3 linked regions of the Tamandua tetradactyla genome follow. The protein of the gene in region 2 purifies or fractionates together with the protein of the main gene of each other region. This does not show direct contact. Links are inferred from orthologs where the notes say so. Each region holds a gene or a part of one and is shown on either strand. Other genes may lie near its edges.

Region 1 (3,744 bases), on a different chromosome or scaffold from region 2:
GGAATGACTGCTTGACTGTAGGGGTTTCCTTTTTTGGGGTGATAAAAACGTTCTAAAATTAGATTGTGGTTACTTCTAAATGTAGTATAAACCACTGAACTGTAAATTTAAAACAGGTATTATTTACGGAATGTGAATTCTCTCTCAATAAAGCTGTTTCTAAAAAGCATCTGATTAAGACCAACTCAAATACAGACTCCCTTTACAATATAGGCATATTCTACCTTCTGAAGCACAACAGTAACTTCCTAAAGGGAGCCCAATGGTCCTGAAAAGTGGGGGAAGTTTTAAAACATGGAAAATTTTCATTGCTCCTTCTTTCCGATATGCTTGCTCCTTAACTGTAATTAAAAAATCTAAACACACCACCAGTACCTAAACGGAGTTCTCTAAAATGACCGTTTACTAGACCAAAGTTATCTACTGCACTCCACTTTGCTTACCAAAACATGATATAAGGGCACTTAAAAATAACATGGTTATTCAAAATCAACAATTAGACGGATTCCCAGACTATGATGCTGATGAAAAAAGTGCAGAAAAAAATCTGAAGGCTACTTCAATTGGGAAGCTGTTAGTTTTATACTATTTTTAGATGTCTTTTCAAAGGTTTTACCTAAAACCTGTTTCAAGACTGATACTTTTCCTTAGCAACCTTAAGCATCACAGATAATCTTAAACGACAGGAGGGTGTTTTTTAAAAACCAAAAAACCGACTTCTTATAAAGATTATTGGAAATTCTTTTTCTCAGTCCTTGCCCAGTCCCCTACCCCAACTCTTGAACTGTACTCAGTGCGAATTATCGATCGATTCCGTTTTCTAAGGACCAAAAATCATCACCACCACCACATCGCTGGGCTTAAAGTATGTGTTTTTTGCTATTATGGGCTTATTTCCTTAGTCAAAATCTTACTCCTACACTAAAAAAAATCTTACCCACCAAAGAAACTAGACTTCTTTTTGGATGTTACTTTACTTCTACAGCCTTACTGTCAAAAAAGAAATCTCTGCACAAAATACAACCTGGAAATTTTATGTTAAAAATTAATAACTCAATTCTCATATACATGTATTTACCACCACTGGCTGTTTTTAACATATTTCCCAAAACTAATACTCCTATTTAAAAACAAATTCTAACTCGTCTGTACCAAAAGTATACAGAAATCATTGCTAAGCCACTCCGCCCCCGCCCCAAAATTCAATAAGGTGGGCCCAGCCGACCTACGTGAAATAGGCGTTTCACATTCCTGCTTGGTAATTCACCCACTGCTCTAGTCGCAAATGATTTTACGCCCAATCTTTAAAAAACGTTTAAGATAAGCGTGAATAAACCCCTTTGGAAAATGAGTACGTACTCTTTTCGAAGTTCCAAATCTGGAATATAAGGGCCGGCTAAGCGTCCTTTATTCCTCCCCGGAGCTTTTCGTTTATCTAGCTGTCCTAGAGACCAGAAAGCTAGGGAGAGTACGCCCCTGCCCCTTCCCCCTCCCAGACCGGCAGCCAAGCCTGGTTTAAAAACCTTCGCCACCGGGCGGCGGAATTACAAAGGAGGCCGGTTGCCTCCTTTGTCCCGGATTTGGGAGTTGAGCGCCTTCGTCGCCATTGGCTTTCCTCCCCCAGCTTCAGCCTCTCTCATCTTGGGAATCTGCGTCAGAAGTCACTCGCAGTCCCGCCAGGCCAGGTAGCCCAGCAGAAACTGCAGAGGAAAGGTGGCCGCGGTGGGAGGTCAGGCCCATCCGGCGCCATTTCCATCGGGAGCGCGCCCGACAGCCCTGATCCTCCCCCGACCCGAATACCCGGCCTTTCCCAGCTCTCTTCACTCCAACCCACATCCATTCCAGGGCGCTTTGACCCCCCCGGCCTTCTAAATCAGTTTTCGAAAGCTGGGGGACCAAAAAAACAGAAATAGCAGGGAAGGGCGGGAAGCTGAGGTGGCCGCGCCACAGTACCCAAAATGGCGGAGGCAAAACCAGCAAGGAAAGAGGAGAAATGCTGGATACCCCCACTTCGGACCTCGGCTTCGTCCACTGAAGTCCACACGAACAAGCCCTTCCCCCCGGCAGGCCGCCCTCCTTGAAGTGGGAGATCGCCCGGGAGGCGCAGCCCGCCTCGGAGTAGCGACCTCCACACTCCCCACCCCCACCCCACCCAACCCCCTCCCAGTCTCTCTCGTCCTTCTCCCGACTCCACTCTCGAACCACCAGCCCAACCTACCCCCTTTTACTTCAGATACCCTGTCAGGAGACGGTAACGCCGACTCTGGTGCTCACTGGGTACGGCCGTGAGGAGGCAGAAGTCGCTCCCCTCGTGTGGCGCCCTCCACAACGGTTCTTCCAACCGTCTCTGGCGGTGGTAACCGCTAAGGGAGCTGCGCAGCAGAGCTACTGGCTTGGGGGATGGGAGAGAGCGAGCGAGAAGGAGGGGGTGGAGCGAGAGCAACGAAAACCGGCTGCCCGGCTCTCGCGAGACAAGAGAGTCGGTAACGCCTTGGCGCGGGCAGCAAAAAAGTGCGCATGCGCACTGACAGACTACCCAGTTGGGAGTAAAATGTACAAAAACTAAGACATTGGTTCAGTTACAAAGACCTGCGGCCGACTTCCCCTTTCTTGCTAAGTGTAAAACCATCAAATTCTCAGAGTCCTCTTCCTGCCCTCTCGAGGAGGATGTGAGGTGGGAGTAGTAGTTCTCCCAGTGTGTTGTGAAGGAACCGTGGTGACGCGGTTTGGACAAGTTCTCTTACTCTGCCGCACTAAGAACAAATTCCCTAAGGGCCTCACTCTTACCCAGCATCACCTGCGTACAAAGATTCCACGTGGTTTGATCGCCAAATGCCGGGAGAGCTTTTCTTGTCCACCATGTTTGCGTTATGCAGTAAAAATAGAACTGTTTTCTACCTGCGATGACACTAAAGTTCCCCGTGAGGCCCGATTTCAGCACCCGGTTTGGCGCTTCTCTGCTCCCCTCGGCCTCGGCGCCGCGTCGGCGCAGCGCCCCCAGTCGGACCGGTTAGCAGCCACCGAAATGCTGCTTGATTGGTTTTGCCACACGTTTCCTTTTTTCCCCTACATATCATTCCGGGTTTTCTCCTCCTACGTGTTGTCTTTTTCCTACTTCAGTGACAGATCAGCCGCTCATGGCGGCCGCATTCCGATTTTCTAAACCGACGTTTGTATTCTTAATTATTGTGCATACAAGTGGCACCTAATAAATGTCTTCTTGCTTGTGCCTTGTTGTGCCCCCAAGGTTCCCAAAGACGCCTTGTGGCCTATTGTAAGTTTCAAAGAAAAATAAAAATCGAATTTCTGTGGCAAAGGTGAAGGGAGATCCTGGTAAGATTCCTGCAAATGAAAGTGCAAGGGTAAGAACACACATCGAGTGAGGAGAGAGGAGATGAATTTGACCACAGTTTTATGGAATATGTTAAGGCTGGAAATGTGGACAAAGCTAGTTTGTACATAATCTTCTGTGTCCTGCCATAAGATGTGAACTTCATGCTACAAACATTGGGAAGCCTGGAAGGAGCAGGGTGGGGTCGGGGCGCAGCGGGAAGGGATATTAGCAGTGGAGAGGCATGAATAATTTTGCCCACCCATGAGATTTGCAGTGTGCAGAATGGAGACAGGAGTCCAGTTACCTTTATATAATGGAAACTTCCATTTCATGGCCTTAATTCATCCTCAGTCCTGTTTAAGACTAAGTACTAGGTAGCAAGAATTGCCCAAGCATAGTGCCCTGTTGTT
Region 2 (3,744 bases):
TTTTCCAAACTTACCCGATGTCCACTCTATCGATTATAAACAAAATTATTTTATAAATATACTTTAGGGTCGAAATAACCAGGTAGGACCCCACCCCCTTTGCTTGAGACCTTAATGCTCATCAAAGTCATTATCAACCACGATTGCAGACAAATTAAAAAAAAGTAAAGTTCAAACATATAGCTACCCAGGCCTTAAACAGTTTTATTCATAGCAATACACGCATTAAGGACCGAGTCACGTTTTAACCAGTGTTCAACACTAAAAAACAAAAACATTTTTATTACTTTGGTCTTAATTATTGGCTTATCACGTGTGAAGCTCCATGTTTTTGCCAACAAAAATTAAACCATCCCAGTATAAGCGTTTATTTAAAATATTAATTCTATAATTTAAAAGAATCCTTCAGGATAAGATTTTGCTATTGATATTCTCCCCCATCCCAAAGTAATATCCTTCCCCTGCCACCCTCGCTGTAGTTCGTAATCTGCGTCCTCCAAATTTTGCTTTTGTACTTCTAAAGTTTCCTGCGACCTCACCGCACTTTTAATCGCTTCAGATCCAGATAAAACCGTTATTCAAAGAAACACGGGCTCGAAAACTTGAAATGGTTTCTTTGTAATATGGCTCGCCTTAAACCCGGTCCAAGGCGCTTCACCTTCTGTTAAACCGTATGAAGCAAGCCCGGCGAGCGCCACCCCCCACCCCCACTCCAGCCGTGTGGTTTCGGAACGTAATGGCGCCATTTCATCGAAGGGAAGGAAGAGAGCCTTTAACGAGGTGCGCAAGGACTTTAAAGATCCAAGCTCACAGAACACTCGGAATCCACCTCGAAACAATACGAAAATAGCCCGGGAGAAAAAACAAACAGTTAACTATTCCCATTATTCGATAGAGGATTCAAACTAGCAGAACTAACAGAGTTAAAAGAAAACCGTTGCGAGATAGGAGAGAGATGAAAATGGCGGACGCCAAATCCGGTTCCCCGGAGAGGGGGAGGGGAAGCTCCGCAGGCTCACTCACGAGGGCCCCAAGGCCGCCGAAAAGCTCAAACGCGGAAACGCTAGAACCCCCAAATGAGCGTGTTTTTAAAAAAGATAATTCCCGCCTCCGCGCCTCACTTTCCACCGAAAAAGGACTGCGTTTCCCATGTAAAAATTCTCCATCCCCCACCCCCGGTAAAAGGAAATGGCGCCGGGAGGCTAAGGGTGGGGAAGACGTTGTACCACTAGGCCTCCGCCAACGAATCCCCTCAAACATATCTCCAGATCAACCCCTTCGGAAACGGCCAATTTTCACTAGCGCTCTTCCACGGAGGCGCGTGGCCGACTTCCAGTGAGGCGCCAACGGCCTCGCCATGCCCTTTCCAATAACTCATTGATTTCAAACCCGTTACCTCCATCGCGGACTCAGTCGCTTCAGCCCGATTTCCCGCAGCCGAGCGAGATGAGAAAGATCTCCGCGGACGAACACGAACCGGACTCGTCCTGGCGCTGTTGTGAGAACTGCCGCTGCTCAGGAAACAACGCCGCTAGGAACACCTCCGCACCGGCCCGAGCGCTGCTGCTACTGCCGCTAGAGCTGCTGCCGCCGCTTTTCTAGAACCTTCCCTCCGACTAACGCGTCTTCCCTTACGTCAGGCCGTTGCGTAAACGCCCTAACCGCCGCCAATGGCGGGAACGGTCCACGCAGGCCTTACGCTAAATGCGTATCCCTCCCCCCGTTTGCAGGAGTGGCTGTGCTTGACGTCATTTGCGTAAATGGGGACAGTGAGTTGCGGAACGCTCGAGTCCTACGTATCCCTTTCTCAGAATTGGGTCCCGCCCCCGCCTTAGCGCAGGGCAGGTGAGAAACGGTCGCGCAGTTTGAAATTAACGCTGTCGGGAGGAGCTTAATCCGCTGCCCTAAAGGGGTTCCCGCAGCAAGTTCTTTCATGAACCCGCCTCCCGGGGTTCTCCCGCCATAAATATGTTGGTTGTCTGCCCCTTTCGTTCTCCCTTTTCCACCCGAGAACTAACTCGGCTCCTTCCGGAAACACCCGAAGCGACTTCAAATCAAATTACTATTCACCCTCCACCGAGCTAACCCTGCCCGACGTCCTTGAAGCCGACTCCTGGGGTCTCGTAAAGGTCTTCCGACAGGGTGGTCAAAGATGGGCACTGTTTCTCACTTCCCCATTCCCCCTCCTCCCAACTTGTTCTCCACCCCCATCCCAGCGTCTAGATGTGACCACCCCCGGGGGCGAGGAAGTGGGCGGAGCCCGGCTTTGGCGCCAGCCGCAGCCGCCGCAGCGAAGCAGAAAAGCATTCACCGAGAAGACTCCGGCCACCGCCTTCGCCCCTCCTCCCCTCTCCCTCCGCCAAGCCGCGAACGGTGAGTGCCGCTGTCGCCGCCGCTTACCCCTCCCTTCCCCACCGCCGGCCCCCGGCTCCTGGCGGGCGCGGCGCTGATCCCCTCCCCCGGCGCGCGCGCACGTACGCACGCCCGCTCCCACCCCGCCCCTCGCGGCCGCCTAGCGTGGGCGGTGCCGCTCCCCCCCATCCCCCGGCGGCCCCGCGCGCAGCTCTCCAGCCCCCTCCCCCTCGGATGTGGCTCGAGCTGGAGGCGCGCAGGGCTGGAGACGCTGCAGACCCGGGACCTGGAGCAGCTCGGAGGCGGTGAAGTCGGTGTCTTTATTTCTCTGTAGTTATGACTCGGTGGTGGTCCTTAAGATAGCACAATGCACCCCGAGCACCCTTCAGTCGCCTGCTCCCGCCGGACCCTTAGTCCGGGTCTAGTGCGAAGGAGTTGGGCGAGCGGAGGTTCCTCGGCGGGCCAGGCGTAGGGCCTGTGCCTGTAGTTAGTCGAGGGTACGAGACTGTCCTCCAGAGGGTGGAGAAACGTGGCGGCAGCCGCCGTATTTCTAGACAAAGCGCATTTCCTTTTCCCCTCCCCCAGCCCTGCTCCAGATGAGCAAGCAGCCCGCCACGCCAAGCCTGGTCGCAGCCTGGGCCTCCTGGGAAAGCGGCGCAGTTTCCACCCTCCGCGAGGCCTGGCAGCGCGCGCGGCCTGCTGGCCGGAGGCTGCGGCGGGCGCTCCTTTCGTGGCCACCGCGGCGGGAGGGGGGAGAGGGTGGCGCGGCCGGGTGGTGCAGTGCCCTTGAGCCCCAGCGCCGCGGCCTTTGTTTCTCCCCGCGGATGTGCTGACCACGAGGCCCGCGCTCTCGGGTGGGGGGGGCGGGGGTGCCCCAGGCTGCATTACTCTGGAATTAAGCCGGGAGACACCTGGGGCCAAGGGGGATCCGATGAATTTAGGAAAGCAATTTGTTTTTAAAAGTGACAGTAAATGGGAATGAACCTTCTCGGTGTGTTTTCTCTTTAGTTTTTAAACGAGTAATTGGAATAAGGGAGGGTTTTTCAAGAGAAATCAAGTTGGGATTCGATCAGAGGTTCTTTTGGACTGACAAGGTCTTGGGGAAAAATTCCACGTACTTTACCTATGTGGTTTTTTAGGTAATTGTGTTTGATTTTGAACAAGCGTTTGTCCTTTTTAAAAAGCTATGTATAGAACTGGTACATACGGGATTTAGATCAGAAATAAAATTAGTCCACCGTTTTTTTTTGGCCCGGGGAAAGCTCTATCTCAAGTACGAATATCCCCATTAAGGTCTTCTGAATCCACTTGGTTAGAATACTGATGTACTTTCAGACGTGTAATACTGATAATTTACATAAGCGCTCAGGTCTGCTTCTCTATGAATTTATA
Region 3 (3,744 bases), on a different chromosome or scaffold from region 2:
GGGCACCTCTGGGACAAGACATGGAGAAGCCAGTGGGGTGGGGTAGGGGGCATTCTTATGGCTCTCTTCCCAACACCCACCAGGTCCGTCCGTCTGGTCCCAGGTCTCCCTCTACTACAGCAGAGACCCAAGCCCCAGGAGTCCACCCCATGCTCATGCCTTCATGCTAACCCTTGCAGTCACTAAAGACCCCCTGTAAAGGATAAGCATGGGCTGTGCCGTCCTTTGGGACCTATCTGAGGAGCACCTGATCTCAGGAGGCCCTGGCCTGCTCTGGTAAAATCACTGTACCCGGTGCATCTTTGATGAACAGAGGTTTGTGGGGTGGGAAGATAACACTCCCAAGGATGTAGCAGCTGCGGCAAGCCCATCGCCACCAACCAAGGGTTAGGGAGGGGGTCCAGAATCTTAGCCTGGGGGAAGCTGCCAGCATCCGCAGGCAGTGAGAAGTGTTCAGCACAAAGACAGGGCACCTGAGAGCACAACCATATCAGCCTCCTAAGGCCCGGTGGGCTGGGTTCTGGGCAGCCAGATCTGCAGAAAGAGCTGGACTTTCCTTTGCGGCTGTGGGGCTTTCACCTGCGCCCTTGGAAGCCATGGCCTGGGGGTGACCGCTCTTTTCTTGGGGCCAGCAGTCCTCTGCCCCCCCTGGAAATGGGCCTCCCTCCACCTTTCAGCCAGTACTTTTTCTGTACTCTCTGAGAACAGCAGCCCCACAACCCACCAACTCTAGCTGTTTGGTCTAAAGCTGACCAGCAGAACTACCTCTCCATGTTCCAACCTGTCCCTTCACGGACAGAACCTGTTGACAGGACCCACAGGGAATGTGTCTGGCTGGGAGCAAGAGAGCAGAGCACCCTGGAGAGGCCACCGTGGACAGCACTGGTGGAGGCTGGCCATAGACTTGATCTGATAAGTCTGTGCCATGCAGGGCCGAGACTGTGAGCACGACAGGGTAGGATGCATCTCCTGAGGAACAGGCTTAGAATATCTGGAGGAGCCTGATGTCTGCCCCAGCTGGCTAAGAGTGTTTCCAGCTAGTTCAGAAGAACGAGGACCAGATAGAAGGAGAGGCTAGGATAAAGGAAGAGAGAGATGTGGAATCATTTCCCTTAGTTGGGAAAGCTCGAGGCTGAGGATGAACGAATGACTATGACATGGAGATAGCTTGAGGAAAAGTACACTGCCCCTTGCAGGACTTGTGCCTCCATAGAGGAGAGGAAGGTGGGCAAAACCTAACAAGAATGCTGCAGTGAGGGCAGTGAACGCCCTTCAGGCTGGGCAGGGCTTTAGCAACAGGCGCCCCAGAAGGTGGAGAGCCTCCGCCTGGGTACGCGTCACTGTCAAGGGCTCACAGGCCTGGCCTCTTTAGAGGGAAGCGCTCAGCAGGGTTAAACTCTGCCCTTTTCGCTCCCAGATCAAGCGTGCCCAGACGCGCTCAGCCCTATTCCCTTCCAGACAGGGCAGCCTTCAGGCCACTAGTCATTTGCCAGCCCAGGCAAGGGCGTTTGCCAAACACGATGGACAGTAGACCCGGATTTCCAACTCCAGACACAATCACGGACTTCCCTCTGCAAACCGGAGCTGCCCAGTCTTGCAGGGCCTAACGGTGTAAACAAAACTGCTACCAGGCAACTGAAGACAGGGACTCAAGCAGAGACGGCCCATAAAGAATGAAAACAAAACCACTTTTGGGAAACCCGTAGGAGAGAAACTTGTGCATCCTGACGCTGTACTTTCTGTTCTCATTCCCCTTTCTCTCCCAATACAGCAGTGCCCTGCGACCACGGGCAGAGTCCTGTTATTCTCTGCCGAACTGCTGATCATACCACCCTAGGAAACACTTTGGCGTGATGTTTTTAGTGAAACAAATGCTTGTTCTAAGGACAGCTATGCTTCTGCAACGTCTAACACTTAGCAAAAGACCAAAGCAGGAGGCCCATTCTCCCCCTCCTAACAAAACTTCAGCTGAGCAGGAGCTGAGCAAGGAGGAGGGTGAGGAATGCGGTAGGCTTGAACCTGCTACAGTGACAGCAGCCTCCGAACCAATTCGTGTGTGTGTGAAGACTACAAGCATTTCTTCCTGGGGCTCAAAACACCCTTCAAAGGGGACTGAGTTTCAGAGCCGCTTTTCCTCTCAAGGGTTCTGGGTCTGGGACCACTGAAAAATCCCCCTTCGTGGCCCCGCGGCGGTTGTTGGGCGGTACCTCAAGCTTGGTGGGTTAGCAGGTGGGAACACGGCCCCCGCCTTTCTCGAGTTCCACGGGTGGAAGCTCCCTCACCGGAGACTGGCGGGCCGCCTGCCCCCATTTCCAGGGAGGCCCCCGCGCCCCGCGCCCCGGCAGGCCGGCCTCCAGCGCGCACGCGTGCCCGCGCCCAGCCCCTCACCGGGCTCCAGCAGATGAGCGCATCGGTGTCCGGGTCGCTCACGAGAGTCCACAGCTTGGTGAGGAAGGCCGGGACGTTGCTGGGCCCCGCCGCTCCGGGGCCCACGGGCAGATCCATGTTGGGCCACGCGAGGAGAGGCCAGGAGGCCGACCGCGAGCAGGGGCCGAGGACCGCGCTAGAGCCGCCGCCGCGCCTGCCGCCTGGGCCGCGCCGCCGCCACCCGCTGCGCACACACGGCCCCGGGGCCTGGCATGGCCGCCGCCATCTTGCGACGGGCGCGCTCCAGACGGCACCGCCCACGACCCAGCGGCGCGCGCGCGCGCGCGCGCAGACGGCACCGCCCCGCCGCCGCCCGCCAATCGGAGTGGGGCGGAACCGATCGTGCCCTCTGACCCGGTCCCGCCCCGCGTGCGTTGGGCCTCTTCGCTGCCGGAAGAGGACGTTAGCCGAGCCAAGCGGGCGCGCTGCGAAGCATGCCGGGGACGCGGGGTTCGCGGTCCGGAAAGCGGCCCGCGGGGCCGGAGCAGGAACCGGAGGAGGTGGGCACGGGGCACCGGCGTGGCGTGTGTGATGGTAGCGCGGTGGGGGTGCAGCCGAACCCGGGGCGGCGCGCACGTGGGGACTGGGGCCGGAGCGCACGTGCTGCGCACGGGGCTCGGCACTGGCGCCACCTCCCTGCCTTGGTCCTACCGGGGGGTTGCTGGCGCTGTACCCCCGGCCTATGTTATCCACGCGGTCAGCGGCGAACAAGAGACGACTTGGCAGGCCCTAGCGCCCTCCCAGCGCGCGGACACTGGGAACCTGCGCGCTGTTGTTGGACCCGGGTGGCTGGGCCTTCTTGGAGCCGCAGCGTCGGGAGTCGCGGGCGGAGCACAGCCGTGCAAAGGGGTGGTCCCGCGTCGGGTGCAGTTACGTGGGCTTGAGGAACAGTATCTGAGGAGGGAAATGGGAGGGAGGGGGGTCCTGTACCAGTTGTGTCCTTAGTACTTTTTTTTGTGTTGTGTTATTTCATTAACATATTGCTTGGCTTCTCATAAAAAGTAAAAGCTTAAGAGAACGAAATAGGCAAATACAACCCACCTCAGCAGCGGCAGGGCCACTGCCCCTCAGCTCTGGCTTGTCCGAGGCTTACCTGCATCCAGGGCTTGCATGGTTGAGCTCTCCCAGTCGGCTCCACTCAGCTGCACTGCTTGGAGGTGTGGGCACTGTGACCCCCAGCCAGCCAGCAGCCTTTTGGGTCTGAGCATGGTGTTCCCTCCAGTTTGGCGGATGCCTCAGTAGTTCGTTGTGTTTGCTCCCAAGCCCTTTTAGGCTATGTTTCTTGCCGTCACCTGATGTAACTAACTAAATATTAGA

Evidence for each region.
Region 1: the proteins of HNRNPA2B1 (region 2) and HNRNPH3 fractionate together in Homo sapiens (co-fractionation; 3 studies listed by BioGRID and IntAct, with this or other methods). This does not show direct contact. The link is inferred for Tamandua tetradactyla from reciprocal best matches to the Homo sapiens genes HNRNPA2B1 and HNRNPH3.
Region 3: the proteins of HNRNPA2B1 (region 2) and HSF1 purify together in Homo sapiens (affinity purification with mass spectrometry; 3 studies listed by BioGRID, with this or other methods). This does not show direct contact. The link is inferred for Tamandua tetradactyla from reciprocal best matches to the Homo sapiens genes HNRNPA2B1 and HSF1.

The regions. Positions count from the first base shown.
Region 1 is NC_135339.1:29,013,172-29,016,915, forward strand, and holds the start of HNRNPH3 (heterogeneous nuclear ribonucleoprotein H3), read right to left. Parts: upstream 2,451-3,744; 5' UTR 2,219-2,450; intron 2,103-2,218; exon of another isoform or gene 1,360-2,102; intron 1-1,359.
Region 2 is NC_135327.1:97,110,913-97,114,656, reverse strand, and holds the start of HNRNPA2B1 (heterogeneous nuclear ribonucleoproteins A2/B1), read right to left. Parts: upstream 2,183-3,744; 5' UTR 1,403-2,182; coding exon 1,397-1,402; intron 1-1,396. UniProt on the Homo sapiens protein: Heterogeneous nuclear ribonucleoprotein (hnRNP) that associates with nascent pre-mRNAs, packaging them into hnRNP particles.
Region 3 is NC_135332.1:82,256,564-82,260,307, forward strand, and holds the start of HSF1 (heat shock factor protein 1), read right to left. Parts: upstream 2,556-3,744; 5' UTR 2,506-2,555; coding exon 2,389-2,505; intron 2,332-2,388; exon of another isoform or gene 2,208-2,331; intron 1-2,207. Other genes in the region: ribosome biogenesis protein BOP1, read left to right, coding at 2,862-2,927. UniProt on the Homo sapiens protein: Functions as a stress-inducible and DNA-binding transcription factor that plays a central role in the transcriptional activation of the heat shock response (HSR), leading to the expression of a large class of molecular chaperones, heat shock proteins (HSPs), that protect cells from cellular insult damage.